3 linked regions of the Lepisosteus oculatus genome follow. The protein of the gene in region 3 purifies or fractionates together with the protein of the main gene of each other region. This does not show direct contact. Links are inferred from orthologs where the notes say so. Each region holds a gene or a part of one and is shown on either strand. Other genes may lie near its edges.

What was found. The genes of interacting proteins can lie anywhere in the genome.
Region 1: the proteins of stx5a (region 3) and bet1 purify together in Homo sapiens (affinity purification with mass spectrometry; 3 studies listed by BioGRID and IntAct, with this or other methods). This does not show direct contact. The link is inferred for Lepisosteus oculatus from reciprocal best matches to the Homo sapiens genes STX5 and BET1.
Region 2: the proteins of stx5a (region 3) and ykt6 purify together in Homo sapiens (affinity purification with mass spectrometry; 3 studies listed by BioGRID and IntAct, with this or other methods). This does not show direct contact. The link is inferred for Lepisosteus oculatus from reciprocal best matches to the Homo sapiens genes STX5 and YKT6.

The regions. Positions count from the first base shown.
Region 1 is NC_090705.1:4,535,727-4,542,779, forward strand, and holds the start of bet1 (BET1 homolog), read left to right. Parts: upstream 1-3,977; 5' UTR 3,978-4,138; coding exon 4,139-4,157; intron 4,158-6,126; coding exon 6,127-6,236; intron 6,237-7,053. UniProt on the Homo sapiens protein: Required for vesicular transport from the ER to the Golgi complex. Functions as a SNARE involved in the docking process of ER-derived vesicles with the cis-Golgi membrane.
Region 2 is NC_090697.1:70,414,292-70,421,318, reverse strand, and holds the start of ykt6 (synaptobrevin homolog YKT6), read left to right. Parts: upstream 1-3,951; 5' UTR 3,952-4,193; intron 4,194-5,195; 5' UTR 5,196-5,235; coding exon 5,236-5,339; intron 5,340-7,027. UniProt on the Homo sapiens protein: Vesicular soluble NSF attachment protein receptor (v-SNARE) mediating vesicle docking and fusion to a specific acceptor cellular compartment. Functions in endoplasmic reticulum to Golgi transport; as part of a SNARE complex composed of GOSR1, GOSR2 and STX5.
Region 3 is NC_090713.1:23,128,015-23,135,510, reverse strand, and holds the start of stx5a (syntaxin-5a), read left to right. Parts: upstream 1-4,438; 5' UTR 4,439-4,526; exon of another isoform or gene 4,527-4,561; intron 4,562-5,150; 5' UTR 5,151-5,248; intron 5,249-6,013; 5' UTR 6,014-6,032; coding exon 6,033-6,227; intron 6,228-6,453; coding exon 6,454-6,524; intron 6,525-6,698; coding exon 6,699-6,754; intron 6,755-6,846; coding exon 6,847-6,917; intron 6,918-7,451; coding exon 7,452-7,496. Other genes in the region: vegfba (vascular endothelial growth factor A), read left to right, coding at 450-471. UniProt on the Homo sapiens protein: Mediates endoplasmic reticulum to Golgi transport.

The DNA.
Region 1 (7,053 bases), on a different chromosome or scaffold from region 3:
GTCAGTAGAAGAAAACGCGCACAAGAGAAGGTTTAAGGCAATCTCAACAGTGAGCGAGGAGTGAACGGAGGAAGCGGGGAGTGAAGTGCTAATTGCTAATAGCGGCACAGGTGTGTGCGCCGGGAGGGGCACGCGGGAGTAAGATTCGTGACAGTAGGGACAGAGGCCAGGCGCTCCGAGCCCCGGACTCAGACGGTCAGGAGGCCGTGATGAAGCCTGTGCCGTCGGGTCTCTCCTGGACCCGCTGGTAGGCGGGCTTCTGGGCATCCATCTCCCAGTGCTGAGCCAGGAATAGCAAGAGCACCAGGCTGAAATAGTAGGACAAAGCAAGAGGCAGGTGCTCATAATCAACTAAAATACAAAAGGGTCGGAGTGTCCTTTAAGAGGAGGGATGCTGTTCGTGACAGAACATGTATGTACTGTAAATCTGCAATGGAGGCAAAACTTAACATTCCTCAGGAAACAGTGGGCAAATCAGGTACTTGGAAATATGGTAACTATTTTGGTAACACATAAACGGAGATGACTATAAGGATAATACACTCCATTTTCTGTGCTCATGATGCCTGGTTCCCAGAAAGTCTTCCAGTTTCTAAGAATAATGAAGTGGATTGACCTTATGTTTCATTGACTTTTCTGTAACTACCCTATGGGAACATCAGCTATGTAAATAAAAACCCTCAGAAACTCCTGGAAAAAGGACCTGCACTGTGTATGTATGTATGGATGCTTGTACAGTATGTTTGATTAATATCTGATTAATTAAAATGTGTGATCCTTGAGACCTACAGTAGATAGTGTGTCAAAAATGAATGACTGCTAATCCTACAGAATCATGATGCAGATAAAAAATGGTTAAGAAGGTATAAGGGGAAATAGCATAAACATTTTATTCAAACGTCTCTCAATGGTATTAACAGCATGCTTTCTTCTTTGCCTTCAAAGCACTTTTATCATTAGCACACACTCCTCTATAGGAAGACCACCAATGGAGAAGACAGGCAGCTACATGTATCAGACCCTAAAGACAATGATTAATCACAGCAAGACACTGCTCTTTCCCCATCTCTTATAATAGGTCTGAATAATTATAATAGGCTTGAGTAATTGCTTTGTTGCTGTTGTTTTTACATCTTATCCAAGGTGGATCCTCTGCTGTTACCATTTTGCTGTACCTTAAATATCATAAAGGACATTTTGCAAGTTAATATTTTGCAGCATTAAGTTGCTTTTAGCACATACTGTCTGTCATAACAGGCAAATACTAAGTACAGTGATGTGCTGCTAAAGCAGAGTCTAATGTGTTTTTTGATGTGAAATACACTGAAAGGCTTTTTCGCTTTGGTAATTGGTGAAAAGCAATGAACTTTTCATGCACACATGACTCACCTATGATAATATCGAAATAGCTCTCCGGAATAAAGAAAACTTCCACACCAAAGAGCAGGAAAATATTTCTAAACACTTACAGTATGTAACAGTTGTAATGATATTTTCTTTTCCATTATCATTATTCCTCACTTTTGTCAGCTCTGGTGTTCAATTGTTTCTTTAGAAGAAGAAAAGTCTGTTGGCTTAGATCAAGCATCGAAGAATTCAAACAAAAGAGAACATTTTCAAGGACTATTTCAAGCATTAAAAAAATGTTTTCATTCTCATTGAAAAGACCTTAACACGAATATCACTAAGGGCTCTAAAGAAACTCTATGATTGTACGCCAAGATTGGTGTGATAAAAATGACCAGATGATTAAATGTTTAAAGTTGATTAATAATACAATATTAACATATATATGGCGCATTAGCTCAAACAAATGTGCATTTATGGTTATATATTTAGATATAAATATAAAGTAATGTTTTTGAACTCTTTTCTGCTGGTGCTCATTCCAGCTGAACTCTACATTTCCAGTGCTAATGTCACAAGATGTTGGCCGTTGAAGCAGTAACAGGTTGTGATGAATCGCGTTGTGTTGATGGCCAGGATTGTGTCAATGTGACAGTGGAGCAGGGAACAATTAGTAACAATGGTCATACCCAAGTCATCCAGGAAGCAATTAGGTACTGACGCATGGAGGTGTGAGGCTGAGCCAGTTCGTCAGACCTTGGGCAGGGGAGTGGAGCAGGAAAGCACACAAAGAAATGAGAAGTGCCCATGACACCTAGGACTTCCCGTTCTCAAACGACCTGAGCTTCCTCCTGATAATGTTCTGGGTGCACCCGCCACTGACAGAGACAATAGGAAAACCACTTGGGGGGATGGCTTATGGGAGGGATAAAAAGATCTGAGCCTCAACAGAGGAGTCTCTTCTCCAGGGTAGCCCCTCGACACGAGACAGGCAGTGCAAGGAAACCCGCAACCTGCGAGTCCACAGAGGAGATTCTCCCTGGAGTTGCAGATCATGGGAGAAGGATGCAGAGGAACGGAGGTACTGCACAGAGACATCTAATACTTGGAGGAAAGAAGCAAAGAAACCGGCCTGGTGAGTCGATACTGACCCAAGGGGAGAGTAGTGCACTCTAAAGGAGGACTCCCGATATAGTCCAAACGGAGACCGGGGAAATTGGACTGTGCGGCATCACTTTTCTATACATTGCTGTCCTTCTCTGTAACACCAAGACTTTCCAACGCCCTCTCCTCATCACCTGCAAGGACAGCTGACCCCCAGGAATTCATTAGGACTCTTGAAAGAACCTGTCCTTGCTGATAGTTAATGTTACTGTACATAATTTATTAAAAAGGGTACTTATACGATACTAATGCTTATCGCTGGTCTGTGTGTGCATTGGTGATTCTGGGAGATAATCAGAACGTGTGGTAATGTAGAGGGTTTTTTGGAGAAATCATTGAGAAGCTGTTATTTGACTTCATGACACCCATGATTAACTTATTCAACTTTCACAGACGGGTCTTATATTTAATATACTGTATAAACATAAGTTCTCACCACATACATACTATATAAACTATAAATACTATATAACAAAGGTATTAAGTACAAAACAAAAAGTCTTGCAGGTAACCCTAACTCTGTCAGTATAGACCTGACATCTACAGTTACTTTGTTCTTGAATGGTGTGAAAATAAAAGATAAAAATGCAATTTTAAAAACCACATAAGGAATTTGTTTAAACTCTGCTTCATTTCTATCTGTATATCCTTCTAGAATTTAATATTTGTAAATACTAACTGAAAATTATTTTGGACAACTCCTGACAGATACTGCCTTACAAAAAACATTTACAACTGTTCATAGGCTTTAAAATGTTAAACTAAGACTTTCTAGATTCAGACTTTTCAACAAGATTCAACAAGATGATTTGTGTATTTTAAGCCTGGGGAAAAAAAAAACTCGGACACATGTGTTACTTGTTTTGGACAGACTTGCAGAACTTTAATAATACGCATTAAAAAGGCAGACTTAAAAAGTTTCATATAAACTTTACGCTTTGAGCCATGTAATATGGAAGAATAGTTATAATTTGACATAATATTCACAAATAAAAAAATTGGATGAAAATGTTTCATTTGTTGAGTTCTATTTTTTAATTCTCTCTAGCAGTATACTGTTTTGTGATTTTTTTTTATTGTTCACTTAGCTTTTCGGATACTTTTTATTCCTTAGATGTATCATTTGATGTACAATATTAAAAAGGCAGTTGAAGCATGAGCCTCTTCCGCTTGCATTGCGTTTGCTTCAGCACTTTCAGGTTGCAGTGAGACTTTGCTATGCATTCTGGGCGATGTAGTCTTTTTTTTTGCTACTCAACTTGTCTAAGTAATTTAAAGAACTCAGTAATAGCCAAATAAATAATCATGCCTCCTGTTGAATTTGAATCATATGCCTGAATGTACCGGACATGATGTTGTGAGAGTGGTCACAGACAAGCGCAGGGAGAGCCGGTGTGAATTATTCTTTAGTCAACCGCATGCACTCCATTACCCACAAACCAAGATGTTCTGCCGTGTTCCGGGTTGTTGTTGTCGTGAAGTTTCATTTTTTTTTTCGATAGCTGCTGTTCATACACGTTGGCAAAGCAGAAATCGGTTTCGGGAATTGTAACTTCGGTAAATTATTGTTACCGAGAAAATAAGTGTTGGCAACAAACGTTGTCTGAAAGGAGTCTAAGGGATCAAAATGAGGCGAGCGGGTTTGGGTAAGAGGAGCTGTATCCACTCTTGTTTCTGAAAATGGTTTACTGAATTGTACCATGAACTCGAAATAAAATTTAAGGGGACTCGTTGGTTATTAAAATTTATAAACGATATATTGATTATTTCTAAAGTAAATAGAGGATTTTATTATACAGGGTGAAAAGGTTTGTCCATTACTAAATGTATTAATTAATTTAAGACGCAGTCTGAACAATAATTCCTGAAATCCCCGTAGTTTGAACTCTTCATACCCTGCGCCCTAAACGAGTGAAATGTCTCGAAATCCGAGCTGTTATTTCCCATGAATGGGAGACGGTTCAATCAATTTTACAAGTATATCACAGTCTTAGGATGTTTTTTTTTATCATTTCTCACTAGGGAAACAGCTCATTAAATACAGTCGAGATTGAAAGTTGATTTAAAACGTATTCGTTGATTTAAAACAAGAATCTCGATGTACATCAGTTTTTTTTCTGTAGAACCTGGTTTTATACTCTATATGACTAGACTGTTTAGACAAATTGTTTTCAAGTTCTAATACCTGTCATTTTGCTTGATAATTCATTCATCAATTACATGGGTACTATGGTTAGTTGCAATATTTTAAAGTGAAGTTAGACAAGTGAAGTTAGTGCAAAAGTTGGACCTTCTTAGTTTAACACTTCATCGAGCAAACGTCATTGTTGATAAGATCGGATATACATTGTATATACAAGAACAGTTAAATGTTATTGAATCAGGGCTGGGGTGATCCCAAGAATGTTATTTTTTTATAACATTTATTTTTTTTTAGAAATTTAGAATCACCAGTTTTATGTGTTAGTCCCACCCAGTTTAGAACAGCAAAGTTATGGTTTTTCACAAGTTGTTTCATAACTCCTCCTTCCAGTCAGTCATTTCTTGACACATCACAGACAACCCCACTCTGTGCCACAGGTTCAGTGCTGGTTGGTGGAGAGGCCCATCCTTCACCCTCAGCACTGCAAGCTTGCAAACACTCCAGAAGACTACAGGGGGCGCTGTGTCACTGACTACACCCACTCTACCCTCGCCCATTTCCAGTGCCGCTGACTGGGGAAATTTGTGTCACAGTCAGCTGCTGACATGGCCCATGCTTGAACCCATGATCACAGAGCTCTACCTGCAAGGAACTTGACCATTTCAGCCTTTTGGATTAAAGGATTTGCAAGCCTGTTTCATTTAATATCACTTTATTGGCCATATACAATTTCTTGCATTAGGAATGATCTTTTCGCATGCCACAGCTTGCTCTCCATGAGACACACAGACAGGGAGAGAGAAGCTGGGGGTCAGAGCGCAGGGTCTGCCATTGTATGGCACCCCTGGAGCAGTTGGGGTTAAGGGTCTTGCTCAGGGGCCCAACAGAGTAGGATTCCTCTGCCGGCTGCGGGATTTGAACTGGCAACCTTCCAACCGCAGGCACAGATCCTGAGCCACAGAGACACTGCTCCGCCCACTCATTTAAAGAGTAGTCTGGGGCTCATCATCCCTGGTCAAAGATAAGGAAGGATTGGTGATGGTGACCTGTCAGATTTTACTGGGCACACCCTTAGTTGGCTTTCTAAGCCACATGGTTTAATCATTTTCTTTTTTAACCTGTTTGCAAGTCTGTGAAGATCAATTTATTTTGCCAAAAAAAGAGTGTAGTTTTTAAGTATTGTATTAATCATATACTGCAGACATGTTTTCCTTGTCGCCGTCCTTTCATTTATGTAAAATAATGGGAATTTCCCTTTATGGCCACAGTAATTGTAATTAAACAGTTAGTGAAAGCAAGTACTTCGAAATGGAGATGTAGGGAACAATACAGCCGACATGATTGTATAAACCTGTACTGTATATCTAATGTTGTGGAAAATTCAAAGTTTAATTGTATTGCTCACAACATTGTAATGAACCAGTCATGATATTTTTATTTTATCTTTGGATGTTATCACCTTCTTTTAACAGGTGATGGAGCACCCACAGGAAATTATGTAGCAAGTGGATACAGTGTTCATGAAGAAGAAAATGAAAATTTATCCGAAGGTTTAAGAGCTAAAGTCAGTGCTTTAAAACATGTAAGTACAGTTCACTGACCTTCCAGTTTTGGAAAGTGGAGGTGTCCTTGTTTATTTTGGGGGGCTGCAATGATGGATCAATTCTGACCTTCAAAGGTTCAGAACACATTGCTGAATAAAGCTTTTGATAGTTGTATTTCATATGATTTACTAATGATGTCAAATTGTGTAAGTTTATCTTTTGGAAAATCCTTGTTTTATATGTAATCCATACAAATGTAACATCCCTGTGCATTTTAAAGAGAACAGTTCATTGCTATAAAAAAGGGTTCTGTTTCTGTACATATATTTGAAAAATATACTTGTTTTGTATACAACTATATATATTTTTTCACCTAAAAGCACAGAAATTGTGTAATTCATTTGTCGTAAGTATGTGTCCATTAGGTTTTTATGTACTGACAACTACTACTGATAAAACAGGGCTGCTTTGTTGTAATGCAGTTGTTGGAGTCTGTTTTGTATTCGACATTATATAGTTTTTTGGCATCCTTACTTTTGAAGTGATTTACAGTGGCCATAAGCTAAACAAGCCCCTTTTCTATAACAGAAGCCACTATTTCACTATTTAAAGTTTATACCACTCTTTCATACAAACAATTGTATTCGAAGGCCACAAACAATTATTATTATCATCATCTTCAGGAGCCCAATTCTGAGTCAGTTTTACCAAGAAAATGTCTCCGTTTTTCTTTGTCTGTTAGCTATCCTAGCAAAATAGGTGCTGCACTGTGTAATTTTTGAAACAGCACCCTTGATTCAGCAGGCTGAGTGAATAAGGGTTTCAGAGATTTGTGTGGCGTGTTAGAGTCAAAAA
Region 2 (7,027 bases), on a different chromosome or scaffold from region 3:
TTTTTATTTAGTCGGCAACGTTAAATTGGTTATTATTCACAAATAACTACAGCAATAAAATTTGCTGATGACATGATCATAATCTGATAACCTGTTCTCACCCAGCAAAGGTACAATGCTGCTGAACAACCCAAGAAGTTGGTTTATGATTAAAATCACATTTTGAGGATCAACAAAGTTTAAAGCGGGAAACAAACATATATAAATGTACTCTTAAGCAGTTATGAGGAAACACTCTAAGTGAAGGTAATTGAAGTTAATTAAGAAATATACTAAGTGAAGGTAATTACGTTTTGGGCTGTTTTACAAAATAGGAACTTCGGAAGGTGACGTCAGGGATTTATATACCCTCTCATTGGGCGTATCAGTTAATCGCCGTTATCAGGCTAAATATTTTGAAATAACAAGCAATTCAAGGGGAAGACTGATTTAATCTTACCTTCTCCATAATATGAGGATCCATCGTACTTCCCCCACCGGTCATGAGTGCTACTGTCCAGGGGCTCGCTTGCGTCTAGTCGGGCGACCACTCCGGGTGAACAATGAGGCTGGGTGCCGTTGACAGATGGATACCTTCCCCGAAAATAACTACACCAAAAGGCTCATAATTAAAGCTGTTTTTGTAAGGAGGGATATGGACATGGAGTTTAATCAGAGCTCCAATTTCCGTTTGTCACGATAGTCTATTATTACATTTCCCCCAGTTTTTTTTAGAAAATGTTGATTACCTGTTTATCCCTGCTTCCGAAAACTACCCTTCCTCCTTAGTCTATCTGCCAAGATGGGCAAATTCACCTTGCATTTTGTATAAGGCTTCGCTGAGTTGGAAGTGATACAGTACAACAGCGGGAATATCCATGTGTTTATTCATGTTCACCAACCCTAAGTACTTTCACCAATTTGTACCCTTCCAAGCTTCTCAGAAAAGTGAGCCTTTCTTTAAGGATTAGTTTTAGTGTCCATGTTCAAAGCACTTCTGTTCTTTTATACTGTATGTGGTGCGTAAGCATCTTAGTGTTTTGTAAAGCAAAAAGTTTCCTACAGTATTAGAACTGCGCTCTACAACACCTTGAAAGCGCAAGTTTAAATTCAAGACCCCAGTGTCTTAAATACGGGACGGGAAGTTGTCGTCTGAGTAAAAGTCATCCTTTCCGTTGCCTCTCAAAGATCATTTTAATCGCATTCCATACTCGTGCCAGTCGAGACATTGGGCTTCATCGTGGTAGCAGAATATTTCAAAAAGTTTTTTTAAAAAATTTTAATTTAACCAAGACAACTTGGCATCTCTCTCCAGAGTGCAAAAACACCAACAATTCAACTCCAACTCGACATCGTTTATTTTCACCCTAAGATTTTCAAGGAAATATTAAAAAAAATCAAATTGAACTAAGATGTATTATTAAAAATCTAAACGAAAAGAAAGCGAGCATTGATCATTTTAGTCCCGTGATAGTTGCGCGCTTTAAACACGGGTGATCAATTTAACAATTCTTAGAATCCTTTCACGTGGCATATTACTCTATCTTTAAGTTCTTCTTGTTTAAATTAGCAATATATTTCCACCCTAATTTTATAAGTCCCAAGAGGGACGTACTTGCATTGATTTGATTTTAATTGGTCAGAAAGCGCGCAGACAGGACACGGTTATCCATCATCCCTCCCGTTTCCCCGGTTCTTCATTCTGTTTCCCTGGCAATCGAGAAATAAAAAACGACCCTATTGGTCTCTACTAAAAGCACTCGCACTGCCATTGCTGCCACAACCACCAGGTGCTTTACAGAGCAGTCATCCTTCCCGTTGCCTTGGCGACAACATTCTGAATCCGTTGCCCTGGAAATCTCTCCATATATGCTCACCTCTGGTATGGAAAACACTTATCAATGAAGCGAGTGGACAGTAGGAAATTGTTAAATGGGGCAAAATTACTTAGGAAAACATTGGCTTAGCTGCAAAGTCCTCAATTGCGTGGCTCCCACTCAAGCTTGACTGTTCATCAGTAAAGGACACGGAGCGATCAATACAGCGAAAGGCTGAGATCATTTCGCTCCGGCAATTTTGGGCATCGCAAAAGCTGGCAGAGGTATTAGGCTCTGGGATTGGGTGGGAGAAGTGAGAGGAGGAACTGCAGCTTTGTCAAAAAGTTGATTTCTACACGGCCAGACCCTGAATACTCGTCATCAGCGGAGCAATTCGGAGATAAGATCAAAAATCCAGCAGCCATATCACCCTGCAACTCACAACTGGCAACCCACTGAAGCTAAGCAGGTGTGAGCCTGGTCAGTACCTGGATGGGAGACCTCCTGGGAAAAACTAAGGTTTCTGCTGGAAGAGGTGTTAGTGGGGCCAGCAGGGGGCACTCACCCTGCGGTCCATGTGGGTGCTAATGCCCCGGTATAGTGACGGGGACACTATACTGTAAACAGGCGCCGTCCTTCGGATGAGACGTAAAACCGAGGTCCTGACTCTCTGTGGTCATTAAAAATCCCAGGGCGCTTTTCGAAAAGAGTAGGGGTGTAACCCCGGTGTCCTGGCCAAATTTCCCCCCTGGCCTTTACCCCATCATGGCCTCCTAATAATCCCCCTCTATGAATTGGCTACATTACTCTGCTCTCCTCCCCACTGATAGCTGATGTGTGGTGAGCGTTCTGGCGCACTATGGCTGCCGTCGCATCATCCAGGTGGATGCTGCACATTGGTGGTGGTGGAGGGGAGACCCCATTACCTGTAAAGCGCTTTGAGTGGAGTGTCCAGAAAAGCGCTATATAAGTGTAAGCAATTATTATTATTATTATTATTATTAAAAACAACTCTAAGATCCTCCCGCTTCTACATAAAAACCCTGCTGCTTATATCACGTGTTTTCCCCATATTCTACAGAGGATGAACAAGGAAACCTAATTTAGGATAATACATAACATAAGCCTATTAAAATTCACTAAACACATTCTCAATTCTAAAAGTCACAAGCAGATTTTCTGACATATTAATCTATTGACTAAAAATGAATCGGAACGTGTATGAACGAACCTATTGATAAACAACAACCTTTGGTCACACTAGGACACCGACATTATGGTAAAATCTGCTAAAGCTGTTGACATCAAACTATGATCAGAAAACGTGATTGAGTTATTAACGTACTGCAGTCTTTCGAGTTTGATCAAATCAAACAAGTACATTTTCAGATAGACTTAGTAAATAAAAAAATATTCTGCAAATCTTTAAAAACGTTGTGCATGTTTGAACTATCTGGGAAATATTCTCGATTTTCACAAATGTTGCAATGTTTCCTGTTATCCCTGGTGAGCCGAATTAAGAAGTGTCACAAATCTTTACGATTCTTTACGATACAGCGCCATCTAGTGACATAGCACTCGGTATTTGCTTGCACTGGAAAAATAAGCCATTCTGTTTTATTATTTTGTTTTAAGAAAGGGAAAGCTCAAATATGAAAGGACAACAGGCGTGTTACAAAGCTTTCTCAATAAAGAGGGTTAATTGTCAATATTCAATTTTTCCAAACGAGTCCAATTATAATTTCAGAATTATTTCACATCATAATACATTCCGATATTCTACAACGAGTTTAATTCGGAATTGCTTGTATGACTTTATTTTAAGTCGAAATTTATAATGGATGGACAGGCGCAACAAAGCGAATACTTTATTTGTAAAACTCCCTATAAAATCCAGTGTTTTGCAACATTCAAAACGAAAATACGATTCCCAAGGCCAGTTCTCGTTGAAGTAAAATCATTTCTTTCAGATGTACATATTAGGTATTATAAGAAGAAATTACTTTTGTAAAAGCAAAGCATAACGTTCATTTTCGAAGGGTCCTGAAAATTGATGCGTCTTCCCTGAGGTGCAGACCCACTTAACTCTAGGCACGGATCATGAGAGGCTCGTGTTGCACGCCGGGGGTGTTTGAAGGTAGGACCTAATTCCGCCGGAGTTGAGTGACGTGGTTCGGGGGAAGAAAGAGAAAGGGAGTTTCTTTCGGTGTTGTCTGGATCTCAGTCTCCTTTCGGAGGGTAGCTTTACAGTTCGGATTCGTCATTACGTTCAGTGCTATTTTTCTTTTTCCTCCATACCTTCAGTAGAGGAATCGACACATTTCTGCCTTGACGTGGCTGTTGGAGCTATAATACGAGTGGTCTCTAATCGTCTGAAGAGAAGCAACAGAGTAATTGGTAAGAGGAACTAAACTAATCCTTCCCCAAAACAGTAGTGTTAATAGGGAGAAACAGATGCCCGAGATTAAATCGGAGACAATAAGATGATTAAATAGTGGCAGTATTAAGTATTCCCTATGAATATATACTTATATCGCCGCTTGATCAAGACCAACTGAGTGTGTTCAGTAGTAAGTCGATGCCGTTAATAAGTATTGTTGAGAGTAAATCTAAAACACGAGACTCTGGTAACACGGAAATAACAGCCCCATTTCATATCCTTGAACTTTTGCCATTTAACGTAATGTAATGATAATTTAAATTGGACGTTATTGGTCAGGAAAATGTTGGGAGACGTAATCGTTTTATTTGTGAGAAAGTCCGTGGCTATTTTGTCTTTTGCATTTGCCGTTTAATACCACAAGGACAGCTGGTGCAAAGAGCAAATACCTGCAGCATCTCATACGCTTGTTTTAAGTCAGGAAAGGTGACGTTTCGTGAGCAGCCTGGAAGCGTAACAGTCCGACTGCGACATCACCGGTAAAACAATAATTGTAAAAAAAATTGATTACATCTTTCAGTGAAAAGCAGTGATGAATACCACTCTCAATACAACACAACACCGTAGTTCACGGTAAATAAGTGGTCAGTATCAGTGCATTCGGATTAAGAAGTTCGCTTTTCTGAAAGGACTTTCCCAATCAGCTCATGGCGTGCCTTGCAGCAAAGAAAAAAACTTCCCATGAAATTGACATTGATATTTCACTGGTGTGGCCGACAAGCAGCACCTCTTTAGTGTCATTGCAACTTTGTTTTACTATGATTGTTTACAATATATTTAAAAAGAATGTACATCTATGGGAGTATTGTGACTCTTTTATGTTTGGTCTTCTTGGCTGAAATAGACTGTTGCTCTCCAGATGAAGGAAACGTAGTCTTTCTGGTGGTGGTGGGGATTACTGGTCAGTGAGGGAAGACGTGCTGCTCTGTACTGGTTTGCTGTGTCTCGGTGTGTTTCAGAGCTTCTGGGACGCCCAGGTGATTCCAAGTGTGAGTCATAATGAAGCTTTACAGCCTGAGTGTCCTCTATAAAGGGGCAACCAAAGCCAACCTGCTCAAAGGTGCCTATGATTTATCCTCCTTCAGCTTCTTCCAGAGGTCCAGGTAAGTTCGTGCCTTTTCCCAGCGGCGTTTTGCTGTAGTGATTGAATGAAAAAATTGGCAGTCCAGTTACTGTGAATATGTCCTTCCAAACCATGTGACCTCTGTCTCACTCATGTTGTCAGTGTAAACTGACAGAGAGTCACAGGCCAAGATATAATGTGAGTTTCTCTTCTGGAGCCAGGTTCTTGTAATTCCTGGTTCAGGGAAATCGACGGTTTCACTTGAAGGGTCTAAAGCAATTGGACCCTTCCAATTAAAATAATTTTAAATGAGTTCAAGCCCAATAGTTTTGCAATTTTATCTTAAGCAATCAATTTTATTGGTGAATTTAAAAAGGCCACATGCAAAAATCCTATCTTGAGAATTAGTCTAGGAAGAATGTGATTCTGGGAGAACATATGAAATCAGTTTTTTTGTATGCTTATGTAATGGGTAGGACATTCCTACATATTGTTTGTAACTGCACAGTTTAGCATTGAACAGGAAATAAGGCAGAAAAAAAACATAATATCCATTCAGAATGTAATGCAAGATTAATCACATTCTTTATTTGTGTTGTAGCAGCAAAAGATTTGTGTACAGCAAATGTGGACCAGCGGGTATGGTTTGAAATTTCTGACACTGTAGGGCATTGAATAAAAAAAAACCCTTAAGGGGTTAAGGTTTTGCACTTAATCCAACTCATTGCTTGGTTTCTATGGAAACGAAGCTGAGTGAGAATCCCACAGCTTCAGCTTCAACAGCTGTTTCACACATCACACATTAGCAGACACGTGTTGTCACTCAACAAAAACAGTCATACACTCGAGCAGTCTGCGATTTCTATATGTAAAAAATATCTAAGAAAGGCATGAGTTCATTTTCATACTGAACAACCTAGAGATAATTATGTGTCTGTGTGTATGTTAATCCTGGCTTGGTTTGATGCGTAAAATACTCAACAGTCTGAAATCTTAATTTCATAGTTGTTCTGTTGTGATTTAGCATCTACGTTTCAGCTAGCAAACACTTTCTCAATTTCTTAAGCAATAACAAGTTACAAACTACTGACTGAAGAGAAAAATAATTTTTAGTTTTATTTTCATGAAACGGAGCTAAACTTGAATGTGACTGATTCTTGAAAGGGATTTGGTGGGTGAGAAGAACCAAGCTAATAGTGTTGTAGATTATGTGGGAACAACATAAGGGTACTGACAGTCAGCAGAAGCCTAAATTAGTCAGCACGAAGTAAACAAAATAAGTTTCCTTCTTTCCTTCTGATTTTGCTTCATATTTCGTTTTCTGATTTATTATTTGGTGTTTAGAATTTGATTTTGCAATAGTTTATTTTATGGCTATAGTTTAACAGCAATTCTCAAAGATGACCTTTGCAAAGCAAAGATTGTGGGATTAATGACTTGAACTACTGATAAAACAGTACACAACCACAGATTTGCAAATGTATCTTAAACAATCACATTTATTGGAAAGTTTAAAAAGGCCACATGCAGAAGTGCTATCTTGAGAATTACTCTAGGAAGAATGTGGTTTTGGGAGAACATATCAAATCATTTTTTTGTATACCTATGCAATGGGTAACACATTTCTAAGAATTGTTTGTAATTGTTATAACCAAGTTATTTCAAGTGTTATACTGAAACTGTCCTTGACTTACAAATGGCTTAAGGAAGTTTGTTTTATTTTAAATG
Region 3 (7,496 bases):
CAGACCCCTCCAGACCCCCCCAGACCCCTCAGACCCCTCAGACCCCTCCAGACCCCTCCAGACCCCCTCAGACCCCTCCAGACCCCTCAGACCCCTCAGACCCCCCCCAGACCCCTCCAGACCCCCCCAAACTCCTCCAGACTCCACCAGACCCCTCAGACCCCTCCAGACCCCCTCAGACCCCTCCAGACCCCTCAGACCCCTCCAGACTCCACCAGACCCCTCAGACCCCCCCAGACCCCTCAGACCCCTCCAGACCCCTCCAGACTCCACCAGACCCCTCAGACCCCCTCAGACCCCCTCAGACCCCCTCAGACCCCCTCAGACCCCTCCAGACCCCTCCAGACCCCCTCAGACCCCTCAGACCCCTGTGCTCCTGCTGATCAGGGGCAGGACTTCTTCTCCCTGCTGCCTGTCGCCCTGACGCCCAGGTGCTGTCTGTGTTCCAGATGTGAGCCCCGGAGGCGGTGATGCCCGGCGACAGGGCTGCTGCTGCGGGACGGCCGTCCTGGGGCCCCTCCTGGAGCAACACCAGAGAAACAAGCCCCCTGCTTCTACAGCCAGGGAGGGGACTGACACCACAACACACAACACACACAACACACACTCGCACACTTCAGACCAGCTAAGGACTGGAAAGACACATTTGAATGATGTCAATGAACAGAACAAACAAAAAATACGCTTCTTTTTTTCCTAAGGAAATGAATCTATATGTATGTATATCTATCTATAAATGTGTCCATCATCATCAGTGTCTTTGTACTGCAGTGTCTCTGATTGGCCTTCATCTGGCCCTCGAGGAGACTGTAGCTGCCCAGCCTCATGCCTGCGCGCCTGCGCTGAGGGCAGGGCTGTCCAATCCCCCCTGACAGGCAGCGGTGCCCCCAAAACGAGTGGGGGCAGCTCAGGCAGCGCTCGGCATGCTGCTTCCTTAACGTGCCTTCTGATGACCCTCCGTCTCGGAGACGGGCTCCACAATGCCCAGGCTCCGCCCGGCTCGGACCTGCGGACTGCAGAAGTACAGCTCACGTGACGCCAGCACATGTAAATACACTCAGTAAAGAAGGCAGAGAAGTCCTTATTATCATGAAATATGCACTGAAACGTTTATTTATGTGAAAATAAAATATGGACATATTTATTTCTTATTTGTTTTATTTTAATCTATGTTGGGCTTATCGTGTTTTATCTATCAGTCTGGGTCACCCTGTACCCCTACAGTCTGGAGATCAGTGGTCCAGTCTGGGTCACACTGTACCCCTACAGTCCAGAGATCACTGGTCCACTCTGGGTCACACTGTATCCCTACAGTCCGGTCTGGGTCACACTGCACCCCTGCAGTCCAGAGATCACTGGTCCAGTCTGGGTCACACTGTACCCCTACAGTCCAGTCTGGGTCACCCTGTACCCCTACAGTCCAGAGATCACCAGTCCAGTCTGGGTCACACTGTATCCCTACAGTCCAGTCTGGGTCACACTGCACCCCTGCAGTCCAGAGATCACTGGTCCAGTCTGGGTCACACTGTACCCCTACAGTCCAGTCTGGGTCACCCTGTACCCCTACAGTCCAGAGATCGCCGGTCCAGTCTGGGTCACACTGTACCCCACCAGTCCAGTCTGGGTCACACTGCACCCCTGCAGTCCAGAGATCACTGGTCCAGTCTGGGTCACACTGTACCCCTGCAGTCCAGAGATCACTGTCCAGTCTGGGTCACACTGTACCCCTACAGTCCAGAGATCACTGTCCAGTCTGGGTCACACTGTACCCCTACAGTCCAGTCTGGGTCACACTGTACCCCTACAGTCCAGAGATCACTGTCCAGTCTGGGTCACACTGCACCCCTGCAGTCCAGAGATTGCCGGTCCAGTGTCAGAGTCACCTTGATCTCGGAGACAGGGAGAGAAGAAACTGTTCTGTCACACTAGGACTGAGTGCAATATGTGTATCTTAATACTATTAGAATTGTCTACATTTGTCTTATTATTTGTTCTTGTTTCCCAATGCTGGGGGCGCCGGTGCTCCCCAGAGTGATTTCATGAACAGAGCGGAATGAGCTCTTCATTTATGGAAAATTGTTGTGCAACTGTGACGATGCCAACCAGGCCGAAGGGAAAGTTGGGGATGAGAAGTGGGATTTCTCCAGAGCAGCTCTGGTTCCCTGTGCTGGCTCGGTCTCTCCCAGCAGCGCACACACACACACACACACACACACACACACACACACACACACACACACACACACACACACGACACCCCTGCCCACCTGGAGCGGATCAGACTGCTGCGCACTGGGAGTCTGACTGACAGCACTGTCACACCTGGAGCGGATCAGACTGCTGCGCACTGGGAGTCTGACTGACAGCACTGTCACACCTGGAGCGGATCAGACTGCTGCACACTGGGAGTCTGACAGCACTGTCACACCTGGAGCGGATCAGACTGCTGGTTTTTGCCATGTAATCGGTCAGACTCCTGACTCCAGACCCCTGCGGTGACAGTTCAGACTTGCCCCAGCCTGTATCTGCCTGTTGCTGTGCCTCCTGTCCAGCTGTGAGTTCCCACGCGTCTCTCTGTGCTGTGTGTGTAGTAAAGCTCTCAATATTGATGAAAGTATATATATATATTCTGCTAAAGATAGTACTACAACAATGTTAACAATATATGTCACATATAAGCTATTAAAGGAAATCTTATTTTTTAAATGAGGTGTTTCCGAGTGGTCTTTCAACTTTATCCCGTTTATTTTGGCTTGTTTCTGGATTAATTTCTTCTATTTGCATATTGATCCATTTTTTAAATGTTAGAATATCTAACAAGACTGGACCTGAACCACCGGACCGGCTGTCCTCCCGGTCTGACACCTGAGCCCTGCAGCAGACAGCAGACAGCAGACAGCAGACAGCTGTGTGTTTGTCATAATCAGAAACCTCAGCACTTCCTGCACTAATGAAAGAAAAACAGTGCGTTGGGGGGGCTGGACGGTGGGGGGAGCCTGATTGCCGCTGGGAGACAATAATATTTACAGACTCGCTGTCCTGGGAGCCGAGAGTCCTGACGAGGGGAGAGGCAGCCAGGAGTTACAGTCTGGTCCGCAGCAGCAGGGGGAGACAGGGCAGAGGGCAGGGCCAGGTCTCTCTCACTCCCTCCCCTGCGGTTTTCAGCCAGTGTCAGACACGGGGGTCCGGCGGTCGTGTTGTGTTTTAATTTAACATGAACTTGGAGCAGGGAGGTGAAAGGTCAAGGGTCATGTGCTCCCCTCCTGCTCCTGCTGCAGGGCAATAAGCGCCCCTTGAGGACACAGCTGGGTGTCTCCCGGGACAGGAGACACTGACTCCTCGTGGGGACACGCCCCTCGTCCACGAGCTGCTGGAGGTGATGAGGAAGCTGAGAGTCCGTAACTGCAGGCGCGGGTCTGTCTGCACTGCCCCCTGCTGCTCGCCGCCAGCACTGCGCTGTCCGAGGAGCCTGGCCACAGGGACAGAGGGGACTCCAGTCTGCAGGGGCGATCTGCACAACAGGTGTGGTGTGTGTGTCAGTGTGGTGTGTGATAAAGGGACAGGGAGAGAGACAGATGGAGGGACAGGGAGACAGACAGATGAAGGGACAGGGAGAGAGACCGGATGGCTCTTGTCTGACCTCCCTGATCCTCTGAGCAGCCTCTTCTAATGCAGTCCGACAGCGCCATCTAGTGGATTCTTTCGGAGCAGGTCTGTTCACACCTTTCGAGAAACTACACGTTGGTTGTCTGTGTGGTGTTTGTGTGTTTGTGTGTGTGCCTTCACCGGTGAGTCTGAGGGTCCTGTCTCCCCAGCCAGTGTCTCTCTGCACATCAGCGCTTACTGACACCATCTCATTGCACAAACGACAAACTGGACTGGACCGACCCTTCGCCTTCCTCCTACTGCACTCGGCCTTCTCGTCCAGGGGCTCCGCAGGCAGGGAAAGGCCACAACACATTCTACACAACACGAGCTCCTTAACAAACACGGATACTGTATATAAATAGAGCACACATCCAGCCAGCTGTCCACTCTGAGCAGGCCAGGAGCTGGGGGAATGGACGGCGACTCAGTCCTACTGCTCCTGAGTCTTGGAAGGAGATGGAAGAGCTCGGATCACCGTGCGACGGGTGATCATGGCAGTCAGGGATCATACTGTGTGATCGAGCGTGATGTCCGGCAGTTGTAGCTGTTGTGCACCAGTCATTGTGCTGGCTACCTGCACCCTCTCGCTCAGTCCGTTTTTATTACGAGCATCAAGGTTAACCAAACCAGTCTCCACACTCAATCCACGAAAGTGAATGGTCTAATTCTGCTCTAAGAGAGAAACAGGAACCGTGACGCCGCACCTGTCCTGGCCGCGCCCCCCGGCGCGATGACGTCAGGCCGGGAGGAGGGGCACGCCCGCTGGTAGACGTGGCGCTGTGACGTCAGCGGCCGGGGAGTGACCCGGATTGAAACGCAGCGGCGGAGGGAGACGGAGCGGCGCGGCGGCGGAACCGGAGAGAGACGCGGACATACCGGTGAGGAGAGAGAGGAGGCCTGTGGCGAACCGCCGGTGCGCACCTCCCCAGCTGGGGGCACGGGTGCCGGGGGAGGTCGGGTTTCCCCGACACCCGTTCCTTTGTGTTTTTAAAATGTCGAGTTATTTATCCGGGAAGGGTAGATGGGGCTTTTAACAGTCTGAAAGTGACCCGCAGTTGCTCTGTCCGTCACTGTCGGCGGTTCGGGGGGGCTGGAGTTTTCTCGGTTATAATGCGCGACCTGTTTCAGTGCAGATTGGAGTGTGTGGTGTGGGGTTTTATTTTAATAGTAGCCTTAAAGACCGCTTGAAGCTGCTGTCGGAGACATCTGAAGTTGTTGTTGACGTCTCAGGCGGCCAATGAGGGCCCCCGGGTAGTTTGATTGACGCGAGTCGCTGCCAACCGCCGCTCGCTGAGGTTACAGCTGGTCGGCGGGGAGTGGCAGCGGGGACAGCCAATAGGGGTCCCGGCGTGATTGCGAGGGGGTAGTGGCCCGTTCGCTGAACCAATAGCGTAGAGCGTTGTCCACAGGGGGCGGTGATGAGCGTGTTGGTGGGCCAATCCGCCGTGGGAAGAGGCGGGGCGCTGGTTGTGCTGACTGAGTCTATCCTCTCATTTCAACAGAAACCGAAAATTTTGGAGTCGGTCCTGAGACAAGATAACAACCCCCCAGCTCGGTGAAATCTAAATCTTAACGCTTATCGAGCCGATAACACAGAAAGGTCAATTGTGATTCTTTGTACACTTTATTCTCTTAAACCTTTTTATTTAAAAATGCTTATTTTATTTATTTCAGCAAAACAGCTGTTCAGCAACTGGTTCATACAGTCCAGTAGGACAGTCTGGTACACTGGGGCTCCAGTCCAGTAGGACAGTCTGGTACACTGGGGCTCCAGTCCAGTAGGACAGTCTGTTACACTGGGGGCTCCAGTCCAGTAGGACAGTCTGTTACACTGGGGGCTCCAGTCCAGTAGGACAGTCCTGTTACACTGGGGGCTCCAGTCCAGTAGGACAGTCCTGTTACACTGGGGGCTCCAGTCCAGTAGGACAGTCCTGTTACACTGGGGGCTCCAGTCCAGTAGGACAGTCCTGTTACACTGGGGGCTCCAGTCCAGTAGGACAGTCCTGTTACACTGGGGGCTCCAGTCCAGTAGGACAGTCTGTTACACTGGGGGCTCCAGTCCAGTAGGACAGTCCGTTACACTGGGGGCTCCAGTCCAGTAGGACAGTCCTGTTACACTGGGGGCTCCAGTCCCGGTCCAGTAGAACAGAGTTCTAGTTATAGTGGGAGGGCTTGTGTCTGTCCAGGTGTCCTTCAGTCTTGTTGGGGACTGTTCCTGTGTTGCTGCAGCAGGGTTGAGGTAGAGGCTGCTGGCGCCAGCCTCCTCCCAGCGCAGAGGGGACCGGTCCCGCTGTCCGGCGCGGGGTGTGGGGCCTGTCCAGTCCTGTCCAGTCCACTGACCCCCGGTTGTCCTCCTGTCCGGCAGGTGATGCTTCGGAGCCTCAATGTATACGAGACGCCGTCACGGTTCTAGAAGCACAGAGCAGGGCGTGTATCTCGGACCCTCCCAGACGCAAGCGCAGGACTGCCCCCCCCCTGCCGGGCCCCCCCCCCTCCCCGTCGCCACCGACAACGCCATGTCCGGCCGGGACCGCACCCAGGAGTTCCTCTCCGCCTGCAAGTCGCTGCAGGGCAGACAGGTACTGGGGAGAGGAGAGGGAGGTGGGGGAGACAGGAGAGAAGAGGAGGAGGGAGGCGGGGGAGGGAGAGGAAGGGCTGAAGATGTGAGGGTTGAGGGGGAGGATGGAGGAGGGAGAGAGGGCAATAGGAGAGGTATAGAGGGTTGATCAGTGGGGTGAGGGAGAGGAGGAGGAGGAGGAGGAGGAGGAGGAAGAGGAGGCTCATTCTGTGTCTCTGCTCTGCCAGAATGGAGTCCAGGTCCACAAGCCGGCTCTCAGCGCGGTCAAGCAACGCAGCGACTTCACCATCATGGCCAAGTGAGTCCCCTGCTCTCCAGCTCGCTGACCGCCGCCTTTCACGCGTCTCCACCTTGTCACGCGGATCTCGGCCATCCGGACACTGTAAACCCAGGCGTCAGTGACAGGCTGGACACGCGGGGCTGACCGCTGACCGCTGACCTCTGCTCCCTGTTCTTTGTCTCTCGCCCACAGGAGGATTGGGAAGGACTTGAGCAACACTTTTGCCAAACTGGAGAAACTGACGATACGTAAGCACACTTTCCCCGCTGTGCTGTGGTGGGTGAGCTTGCGAGGGCGGTGGTGCGTGCCGGTCATGTGACGCGTCTCTGGGGTTTTGCAGTTGCCAAGAGGAAGTCGCTGTTCGATGACAAGGCCGTGGAGATCGAGGAGCTCACCTACATCATCAAGCAGGCAAGTGGCTGAGCAGATGTATTACTTACTGAGCTCGGAGCTGACTGGGTCGGGGGATACCGTGTCTGGAATGGGCTCGGAGCTGACTGGGTCGGGGGAGACGGTGTCTGGAATGGGCTCGGATCTGACTGGGTCGGGGGATACGGTGTCTGGAATGGGCTCGGAGCTGACTGGGCCGGGGGAGACCGTGTCTGGAATGGGCTCGGAGCTGACTGGGCCGGGGGAGACCGTGTCTGGAATGGGCTCGGAGCTGACTGGGCCGGGGGAGACCGTGTCTGGAATGGGCTCGGAGCTGACTGGGTCGGGGGAGACCGTGTCTGGAATGGGCTCGGAGCTGACTGGGCCGGGGGATACGGTGTCTGGAATGGGCTCGGAGCTGACTGGGTCGGGGGAGACGGTGTCTGGAATGGGCTCGGAGCTGACTGGGCCGGGGGATACCGTGTCTGGAATGGGCTCGGAGCTGACTGGGCCGGGGGATACCGTGTCTGGAATGGGCTCGGAGCTGACTGTCATGGTCTCTGTTTCCTTGTGCAGGACATCAACAGCCTGAACAAGCAGATTGCCCAGCTGCAGGACCTG